2 linked regions of the Drosophila melanogaster genome follow. The protein of the gene in region 2 interacts with the protein of the main gene of each other region in a biochemical or structural test. Each region holds a gene or a part of one and is shown on either strand. Other genes may lie near its edges. The genes, in order: PK2-R2 and ETH.

Region 1 (7,639 bases), on a different chromosome or scaffold from region 2:
ATTAGTCACCAACAGCGGCTTTCAGCGAATGTTGGCCAATCGCGAGAATGGCTTTCATCCACTGTCTAGACTCCAGACCAAAAAGCGAATTTGTGCGCCAGATAAACATCTTAATGGCCAGGGATTATGATGCAGTGCCCGCTTTTTACTGACAGTAATTAGCCAGACGCCCATTGAACCCTCTTCTTGATAATCCCCACTTGATCCACACTCTTTCAAAAAAAAAAAATGTATTCATTAAATGGGAAAAAAATATTTACTGCAAGAGAAATGTTATTAATGGATATTGAAAAACTGACATTAGATAACAGTTTCTATTGGACTGCTAACAAAGTCGGTCAGCTGTTTAAAAAACTGAGATCGCTTTTATATTTAAATTGTATAATAAAACCATTAGGGTATCAACCTTAATATGTATTTATATATCACTGTACTCCAAATACTATTTACGCTTAACTATGTAGATTCATTTTATTTTTATCAAAAGTCCATTCTTTTTTTATTAAACTCCACTTTATAAATGAAACAACGGTCGAATTTTTGAACTGAGTACATAACTACATAGTTTATTCGATTACGTGCACTATAACTATAATTCGAACTATAGCTTTGGGCTATATTACGGTTATTGGTAAGGACAACCATATAATTGACCCCAAACGCGGAATATTTGTCTAAATTAAAACACAAACAAGCTGGAGTGGCGCTTGCTGCTCGTATCACAGTTGTGTGTGTGTGTAATGTACGTAGGTGGCACTGGAATGGACTACCTCGCTTATCGAGTACAGATAGAGGATATGCTGACCCCCTTTAAAAGGCGGCCCGCTCTTCAGTGTCGCCTCCATTCACCGTCGCCCCCTTTTCGTGCGGTTTGTGGCTGCCTTTGCGTCTGGCACGCCAATTGAATTTGGTCCTGAGACCCTTGAACGGGCTTGAGCTCTTGAGCACTTTCACTTTCGCCTTGCGCACTTTGCCACTCGACTCGTCACCGCTCACGCCCCCCGACCCCGCGGCCCCTGTTGTGCTGCCTCCTGCCACGCCCCCCGTCACACCTCCTGGTGGGCGGGTGATGCGCGTAAGTTTAAGGCGTGACCGCGAGATGGCCAAGTCATCTGTGAGCTCGTCAATGGAGCACATCGTGGGCTGGCGCTGCAGTGGCTCCCCGGGAAACTGCAAATCCTCCTCCAAGAGGGAATGGGCATCGCCCACCGATGACAGCTGCGATATTTGCGTCTGGAGCATGCGACGCGGATTATCGAAGAGGTCTTGCCGGCTGCGATTCTGACCCTGCATCTGGACACTGTCCAAGGACACGCGGTTCAGGCGCACCGACTGACCCGTTGTCGTTCCATTGCCACTGCCATTGGCAGAGCCATTTAGCCCAGTGGTGGTCGTCGCCATGGAAGTCATTGTGGTGCGAACGCTGTCCTGCAGGAGGAAATCAAGGAATGGAGGGATAATCAGAAAGGGAAAGTGCAGTCGCCAGACACGAAAATAAGTAACGCAATAAACATCTTATAGTGGTTTTAAAAAGTCTCGTGATTCAAATTTCATTTTGAGAAACAGGACATACACTATATTAATCCTTTTCATTTTCCTCTTAAATAATGCCACATAATAGAATTTAAGTGCATATATCGAATGATAATTATGTAATTTTTCTCAGTGCACTCACCGTTGTGTGCAGCCGCAGTGAACCCGTTTGATTACGTCGAAGAGCGCTGTAAGTATGAGGAAGCCCCCTTCCCTGATTTTTGCCACCAAGTCCAAAGTGTCTAGCCAAAGTTACCTAAAATGGGATTAAATACGTTTTTTAATTCTAGCTTGAAGTTTAAAATCACTAAATTGACCGTTAAAGAATCGATTAATAAACTTGTAACCTGAAGCTTATTTTCAATTTCCTAACGCAAGCTATAGAAATGAATATCCGGCAGCGAAACTCACCTTAAAAGCCTCACGAAACTTGTGGCTCATGATGTTGTAGAGCAGCGGGTTGATGCAAGTTGAGAGGAAGTAGAGAACACCGGACGTATAGTCGAGGATGCTGAACACGTCGTTGAACCACTGGGACTCAATGCCCGAGGTGGATCCATAGACCGCCATCAGCCGCTGGGCGTGAAAGGGGGCCCAGCAGATGAAGAAGGCCACGGCCACCGCCACTGGGAAAGTTGGATAAGGGCGCCTGATGCAACCATGAGTTATTTCGGATATTTCATATCCTGCTTACCCAGCATCCGGATGACTCGCGTTTGGGCGCTTATCCCCCGGTTTACATCGTAACATCGCCTGGGAAGCGCCTGCAGGAGTCGGCTCCGTTTCAACTTCACCCCGATGAGGACATAGAGCACGCAGATGGCCGTCATGGGTCCGCCAAAGAACAGGAAGCCCGACACAGCAAACACATGGGCAAAAAAGTCGTTTTTCATCTACAGCAGGCATTTCACAAAAATAATATATATGTGTATTCGCATGCGATACGATATGGTTTTGGCTTACAGCCACAGCCGGAAGGCAATGGCTGTAAATTTGATTGCCTAAACTGAGTCGAACCTCGTAAGGGATTGTCGCTGTTTTTATCATGCTCTTAAATTTTTTGTAATTCACAAAGGCTCTCTATTCGAACTTTCTATACGGAAAACACATAATGAATCAAAGGATCAAAGGACCGGTTCTACGAATCAATTAACCAGGTAACTCATAACTGGGGGACATACGATTAAGGGTCTCGCATCAATCATACGCACCGTGCACGATGTTCCCATGCCCTGCATCACCACGGAGAACTGAATGGCTTGGGGCAGGGCCAGCAAAAGGGCAGCTATCCAGATGGCAAATATGAACTTTACGGCCCGTGACAACTTGGACATCGTGTGCTGCCTGTATCGAAAGCAGAACCAATTAAGCAAGTTTGGGGCAAAATGGAAATGGGCAGTGGAAGGAATGAAGGTTCCCTTACCTGAACGGATGACAAATGGCAATATATCGTTCGACTGTGAACGCGGTAATGGTTAGAACTGTCGCATTGGCCGCCGTTTCCGAGAGAACGCTCTCCAATATGCAGATGCTGTCACTGAAAGGATAATTATCCGGGTGCCAGAGGTTATAGAGGTCCTGCGGCATTCCTAAGAACATAAATAGCAAAATAGCAAAATATATAGTGTGATTATAAATATTTAATAATAGCTGAAATTATAGCCTATAGCCTCAAAATGCAAATCGATTTGAGCATCTGCCGAATATCTCACTCTACATTTTCTTGTTTATTTACAAATTTTAATTTAATATGCCTCAGTTCCATTTATTGTTTGCACTACTGAACTGAATTAAATTATAATTCAAAAACCATGAACATTTTAGTTTTGCACTCACCTGAGCATAACAAAATCATGTCGGATATAGCGAGGTTAAACAGATAAAAGTTGGTGGCCGTGTGCATAAAGTTGTTCCGCGAAATGACAATGCATGTGATGAGGTTGCCCAAAACGCCGGCGATAAATATGAGGGCGTAGCCCACGCTTAGGGTGGCCAGCAGTGAAAGTGGTGTCATCGGGGTCACCGTGGGCAAAAGCTCCTCCGGCTCCAGGCCCTGGAGAAGGCTGGTCAGGTTGTCCGCGGAGATGTTCAGCACTTGTGTCAGATTTAAGAGAAATTTCTCATTGTGAAACAGTTGTAGATCGGTTGCCAGGACACCGGAACTGTTAGTGGGCAGCATTTTGACTGCCATAGGGTGTGTGTCTTTGTGTGTGTGTATACGCACTATTATTTTCGAATTTCTTTGGAAATTTCAGACTTCTGCGTATGTATTCTCAATCGAAGCTTTCGCTTGCAAATAATGTTTTCATAACGCCCCTTACGGGGGCTCATCAATTTCGACTTAGGCCAGAGCCACTCCACTTGCAATCTGTTGTCATGAGTGTGGGATTAAATTATGTGTACGGATGTGTGTGATAAGGTGGACCCTATGTGCTATTTAAATAAAACTATGTTTTTCAAAATTTGTTAAAATTTAAATAAAATAATACAAGACAAATAACGCATTTTAACGAATTTAGTAATAAAACAAATTCAAACATTAAGGCTTTTTACTCCAGATTTCTAAATTACCATAAATTATACATATACACAATTTGGTTGGTAAGCTGTGCGCTTTGTTTAGCTTGCTAAGGTCCACCTTAGAGAGCCCGTCTTAAAGCGTGTTTGTGTCCTGTGTGTTTACCTGGCATCCTGGGAAACTGGCAGGCGGCAGTCAGGCGTGTCCTAGGCGAAAGACCAGGATCAGGGCGAGTGGAAGCTGAAAATTAATTTGAATTGCTAAGTGGCATTTAGTCAAAATATTTGTGTACACTGGATGAATTTAAGGATGTTGCTACAAGGCTGAGAAGGACAGGCCTGCCGATCCGTCTCCCACCCAACACCAGGTGGCAAACGAATGAAACGAGCCAGAAGCTCAAGGTCAGGTGGTGGATAAGACGGATAAGGAGACGACGATGGCAAATGGACACCGGGTGACTTAATAACATTAACATAGTTTCATTCCATTCAGATGATGAGTGTTTTCGGCTGCTGCTGTTCTGCTCTGTTCTGTTCACATTCTGGCTATACTTTTCGTTATTGTTGCTGCTGACCGCTGTTGACCGTTTTTGGACGTTTTCATTATCATTATCATAAAAAAGTTTCTACAATATATGCACAACCAAAAGAATGCTGTCGAATTAGGTTTTATTATATTGTATATTCGATAAAACTGGTTTTCATTTATTCATTTTTCTGTTTTCGTTTCGTTGTCCGATGATTCCGATGATCGACCGTGTGGCATCCCACCGAAAAAAATTATGCCCATGCACCCGCCCATGTCCATAAAGTGTGAGTTTTGTATTTGGTTTACTATTATTTTCCATATTTTGCGCTTGGCAAGCCGGTTCGCATTGAGGCATAATATGTTATTATAGATTCTGCACCATTAGTGTTTCGGGTCAATGGATTTCACTGGCAATCTGTAGATCTTGAGGCCCCCGATAATGCCTTATTTATTTTCAACTTGTTTACAACTGTTTCGGTGCTCCTGTTCGGAACTTTTCATTCCGCCTAATGGCAATTAATTATATATCTCGACACTCGGCTGGCTATCGTTTGTGCATTTAAAACACGTTTAATTTAAATTTATCAAACGATGCCTGCCACATTTTTCAGAATGCATTTATTTTTTATGGCTTTGAACTGTTTTGATTTTGTCACTCTGCCTTCGCATTTGCGAGCATTGCACTCTCTGTGCTCCCCCCATTCTTTCACTCACTTTCTCTGAGATGTGATTTCGTTTTGTTTTTAAGGTGTTTTATTGCAATATAGCTAATCAGTTTTTTACCATGTGCTAAATGTTGATTAATGACCGCAACGTGTTGGGCTTAATTTGATATACACGCTCACAGAATTAATGGCTTTAACTATTTGCGTATGGCACTGATTAATTCTGGTACGTAAAATGATTCTCCGAATCGTAAAATTATGACTGAGGGGCACGCGTAAATTGATGGTTTTCCCGATATCTCGTTTTATTTCGTCGTCAAATGATCCGAAAACGTAAGAACCGAAAGAGCGACGGCGGCGGCTACAGCAACGGGCCGCAGCATCCGACTGACTGGGTTTTTGGCCAAAATATCTTGGCAACGAAGTCCGTTCGGGCCACGGTCGTTGCCGTTAACAGCGACGCAACAGCGACGTCGGCAGCGAACAACTACCGGTTGCTTTTCGGTTCTCTGCGGCGGCGCGCTGCTGATTTTCGGCCTTATATGAAGGGTCCCCCGGCAAAAGGGTAATAAAAATGCAAATAATTCTGGAGTGCCATGCAGTTTATCTTATTTAGTGGCGTATTAATTTGCCCATGGCGGCAAATTGTTTGATTATTATGTTAACAGAGCCAAAGGACAATGCAATGCCGACCTTGTCGCCCACTTAAAACCCAACTAAACCGACAACCACAATCAATTTAAGTCAAGGCAGCTCGGAAAAGGTGAAGTGGTCGCTCAAAGAATAAGAACAGAAATTTATTATACTGAACCTAATTTTCCGGATTAGAAACGCTCGGTGCCCTTAAGTGAGAAAACGATTTAACGTGGTATTTCTGTAAAATTGAGACTATATACAAATATAACTTTGCTATTTAAAAACTTGGCATATGCATACTATGCATATGTTCCTGCATGAATGCATTTTATTTACATTGCAGCGCACCATAATTGGATGTAACTGCCACTATATGGTGCGATTTTCTCTGCAAAACTTTTATTACTGTAGCGAAAACATCCGAATTGCTTAAAATTAATTTGTGCAACCACTTTGTACGCCGTTGAGCCCCAGACATCAAGTCACGAAATTGGACATGATGCCGTGGTTTTATGATCAGTCAAAGGGAGATTTTATTAGTGCCCCGGGGCCTAACTTTTATGGCTATGTGCGGGAAAATCTATCAAAGCTTTGCGGCTCATAAAATGTGTATTTTCCTATCCCAGCGTTGGTGCGATATATATTAAGAGCAAACAAATATAGCGAATGTATATGAGACGCTTGGAAAATCGAATCGCGAGGCAAACAAATCAAATCCATTGCATGCATTCAATTTCTCAATTTTTATGTAAATAATTCGAAACAATTTTTTGGCACTTAATCAAAACAAAGTCCTAAACAAACAATGAATACTGGTGGTTGTTGGATATAAAATCTAGGGTCGGAGTTGGCATTTCTTTGTCAGGGACCCTACAACATTTTCTACATCGAGTATCTCATGAATTCAAAGGAAGGGAAAACACAGAGCACGTGCTGCAAAGGCATTCCCAGTCAAAACTTTGGCTGCCAATTGTTGACGAAAGCCGAGAAAAATGGCCAAGAAAGTGGAAAATGGGGGAGATTTTCGTTTGCCTTGCTCTTTATGAACATTGGGCATGACATCAGATTCGGGGCGTTTTGTTTGGCATTTTGAAGTTTTGCCTTTTGCCCAGGACTCTGTCATCAGGCGACGGCGGCATCCTCGTCAGCAGTTTGGTTGAATTTTTGTGCAAGTTTCCAATTCATTTAGTTTTATTGCACGCAGAGAGGGCAGGCCAAAAGTCATTTGCAGTTCGACCAACCCGTTGCCGCGCACTGCTTTCCCTAACTTTCACCTAAGTACAGGCAATATAATATAAGAGTTGGGGCTTATATAAATAAAATATGAAACTTGTCTGCCAGGACAAGATAGTGGATATGAGCCCAGACATTTAAAACACTTTGAATTGGCTGATTTTACATTTCTAAAAAGGAAAAAAGGATGGCACAGCAAATATAAAGTTATCTGTCAGTAGAATACAACAACGGTTTTTTTTTTTTTAATTATTATAGTTCTCTTTTTCTTTCATTTCGATTATACCATTTAATTGTTTATATGCCTGTATTTTTTGTTGGCTTACATATTATTAATTAAAGAGTAGCTTTAGTTTTGTTTGCATTATGAATCAGAGTATAAACATTTCTGCAAGTTTCGGCTTTTTTTATTAAGCGGGACCAATTTATTGAACCTTCGCACGCGCTCAACAAGTCGGTGACAAAATTTCATAGCTCGTGGCTAATTGTGACCTTCGATTGGCCAAATGAAGGCAGACTTTCACAT
Region 2 (3,522 bases):
ATTGTTGACGTTTTTTGGCGCGACTTAATTACTGGCAGAAATCCAAACTATCTGTGCGTCCATTTAACTAATAAATAAGGAGGAATAAAGGAGTTCCGATCCGAGAGCGAAAATGCCGGAGGCGGATAGGGAGCTGGTCAGCATCAGGCGCTTCCTGAAGGAGCGCCTCCAGCGAGACTACACCACCTTGAGGGGCTACGCAAAGGAGCGGTCCAATGTGCGCCTATTGCTGCAACGCACAGCTGAAATGGGGGAATCCAACTCCTTGCTGCTCCTTGGGCCGCGGGGATCCGGAAAGACAACGGTATGAGTGCAGGCCTTACCGGGAAACCAATCCAGTAATCTATGCTTTCAAATTCTTTAGCTCATCAACTCCGTGCTGGCCGATTTGCTGCCCAATAAATCGTTCGGGGAAAACACTCTCATCGTCCACCTGGACGGTAATCTGCACACGGACGACCGAGTGGCCCTGAAGTCCATCACTGTGCAGATGCAGCTGGAGAACGCTGCGGATGGGAAAGTGTTCGGATCGTTCGCCGAGAACCTCGCCTTCCTGCTGCAATGCCTCAAGGCGGGTGGCAAGCATTCCAAGAGCGTGATCTTTATTCTCGAGGAGTTCGACCTCTTCTGTGCTCACCACAACCAGACCCTGCTCTACAACCTCTTCGACGTCTCCCAGTCAGCCCAGGCGCCCATCTGTGTACTTGGCGTTACCTGTCGCCTCGACGTGATCGAGCTGCTGGAGAAGCGGGTCAAGTCGCGTTTCTCGCACCGGCAGGTCTTTCTCTTTCCCAGCTTGCGGCGCTTTGAGGATTACGTTGACCTGTGCAGGGATCTACTGTCCCTCCCGACCGGCAATTCACTGTTGCTGGCGGCGGAGAAAATCTATAACCTACAAAACATCCAGTCGGGGGCACTTTACTTCTCCCGCAACCATTTTGACCCCGGGGAGTACGGCTTTTCGCCCAGACTACGCGATGCCTGGAACAAGCAAATATGCAAAGTCCTGGCCACTCAGCAGGCAAGAAGCACCCTCCAAGCGCTCCATGACTTCGACATTAGCGAGGCCTATCTCAAGAACTTCCTATTCCGCCTGGTGGCACATCTCCGACCGCAATCTCCCCACATCACAGCCGAAAAAATGGCTGCAGTGGGATCACAGTTTGAGGGCGACGACAAGATAGAGCTGCTTTGCGGGCTCTCAGTCCTAGAGCTGTGCCTGATCATCGCCATCAAGCACCATTCGCAGATTTACGATCGCGATTCCTTCAACTTCGAGATCATTTACGCGCGCTTTTCCAAGTTTGCCAAAGTGTCCACCACAATGCAGGCCGTGGAGCGGTCCATTGTCCTGAAGGCCTTCGAGCATTTACGCATCGCAGAGCTGATCATGCCGCTCACCGGTGGAGCTGGAGGGGGCGTAGGTAAGGTGCAGAAAGAGTTTGAGATGCATAAGCTGGCGCTGACATACAGCCAGATTCACCACTGTATGCAGCGATACCAGGCCCTTCCCACAGAGGTTGCTCAGTGGGCGCAAAGCTCTCTGATTTAGCAGCAGATCAGAAATACTTTGTATATTTATTTATTTAAAAAAAATTGTACCGAATCATTTAGTTGGTAAAGCCCTGTTTTGGGAAAATAAACTAATTTTAATTTATAAAACGTATATAAGAGAAAAGACAAGCATTTACATACGCAAGTGGTATGTACTATAAAATTTAGTTCTTATACAAATGTAAGTAATGTAATGTGTATGTATGCACTTAATTATGGCCAGGCATTTAGGTCAGGTTAGTTCAGTTTTATCTGCTTTGCACTTTCCGATCGATAATGCTAATTCCTGGAGTCACCCGCATTTCTATTCCACGCAAGATGCGGGTGGATCTCGCTATATAAAGGCCACCAATTGTGGAGCAGGAGTCAGGTGAAGCTTCAGTCGCATCAGCATGAGAATCATAACAGTCCTGTCTGTTTCGCTCTTGGTGGGTCTTGTGGCCATAAGCCAGGCAGACGACAGTAGTCCAGGATTCTTCCTAAAGATCACCAAGAACGTACCGCGGCTGGGCAAGCGAGGCGAGAACTTTGCCATAAAGAACCTAAAGACCATTCCTCGCATAGGACGCAGTGAGCACGTAAGTTATACCCATGGGCTTTCTTAAAGGATATTTTTAAACCATGAACTGTTTTCAGAGCTCTGTTACTCCTCTGCTGGCGTGGCTATGGGATTTGGAAACGAGTCCAAGCAAGCGGCGCTTACCCGCAGGGGAATCCCCAGCGAAGGAGCAGGAACTTAACGTGGTGCAGCCCGTCAACTCGAATACGCTCCTTGAGCTGCTTGACAACAACGCTATTCCCAGCGAGCAGGTGAAGTTCGTCCACTGGAAGGATTTCGATCGTGCCCTCCAGGCAGATGCCGATCTGTACAGCAAGGTTATCCAGCTGGGACGCCGTCCGGACCAGCACCTCAAGCAGACTCTCAGCTTTGGCAGCTTCGTTCCCATCTTCGGCGACGAGCAGAATCCGGACTTTATGATGTACAAAAACAACGAGGATCAGGAACTTTACGGCGGGGGAAATCGCTACGATCGCCAATTCCTCAAGTACAACATCCTGTGAGATGTGGAGTATTCGATTTGAATACGGACAAAGGAATATGACATTATAGAAATACATGTAACTTACCAACACTGCTAGCTAGTGTGTTTCAAATATATCCGGAACCTTGAAAATGGTCCAAGAAAAAATTTAAATATCTTTTCAGTTGAATAATCCCAGAAAACAAATGCCTCTTTTGGTAAGTCCAAAAAACACCTCTAAAAACGATAGTAAACATAATAAATTTCGGCCATATGGAAATGACTCATCCTCTATCGCACGATGGTCTGAATATAACGTAAGTCTTCTCCAAGTCTTCATTAGAATGCTTTCCCATAAGTACGTAAATACAAAACCAAATGGAAAGAGAAAATCGAAATCCGGATTGCAGTTGCTTGGATCAGAGCCTTTCTTTATCGCATTCCCGGATGGAATCGAATGGAATCAGCACATTAACGGTGCTTCTTTGACCAGGTCCACTCCACTGCAATCCGCACCTCAATCTGGCGAGTCAACAACCCAGCTGTCTTCTTTTGGCGGGGATTTGGGGATGTGGGGTGGCTGACTCAACGCAGCGAGCTCGGGCTTATCAAATTTATGGGGTCCGTGATGTTAGGAAATTCCAGCGATCGCATTCTTCTGCTCCCTTTTACCGACTTCTACCTTTTAATTGAATTAAACGATCTGCCCGCGAATTGAATTCCCAAACAGGATGATGGCGCCGTCGCATTCTGGAATTTGATATGTTTATTTTGCTTAATTAGCGGGCTGCTGTTAAGTATGCTGACCAGAATTCGCCACAATCCAGTAATCCCGCGGCTCATCAACAACTTCAATTACAAGCCCGGCTTGATCGGACTCAGACGCGATGACGACGCAAACTTGACTTTGAAATTTTTGCAATGCCTCACTGATGTTCGACTCGGT

Evidence for each region.
Region 1: of the proteins of ETH (region 2) and PK2-R2, one has a biochemical effect on the other in vitro, tested with the Drosophila melanogaster proteins (one study listed by BioGRID).

Annotation. Positions count from the first base shown.
Region 1 is NT_033777.3:13,328,528-13,336,166, forward strand, and holds PK2-R2 (pyrokinin 2 receptor 2), read right to left. Parts: upstream 5,640-7,639; 5' UTR 5,363-5,639; intron 4,312-5,362; 5' UTR 4,217-4,311; exon of another isoform or gene 3,902-4,216; 5' UTR 3,725-3,901; coding exon 3,370-3,724; intron 3,123-3,369; coding exon 2,957-3,122; intron 2,878-2,956; coding exon 2,745-2,877; intron 2,427-2,744; coding exon 2,228-2,426; intron 2,160-2,227; coding exon 1,945-2,159; intron 1,790-1,944; coding exon 1,676-1,789; intron 1,429-1,675; coding exon 811-1,428; 3' UTR 543-810; downstream 1-542.
Region 2 is NT_033778.4:24,793,883-24,797,404, reverse strand, and holds ETH (ecdysis triggering hormone), read left to right. Parts: upstream 1-1,922; 5' UTR 1,923-1,946; coding exon 1,947-2,132; exon of another isoform or gene 2,133-2,190; coding exon 2,191-2,616; 3' UTR 2,617-2,735; downstream 2,736-3,522. Other genes in the region: Orc4 (origin recognition complex subunit 4), read left to right, coding at 113-304, 365-1,552.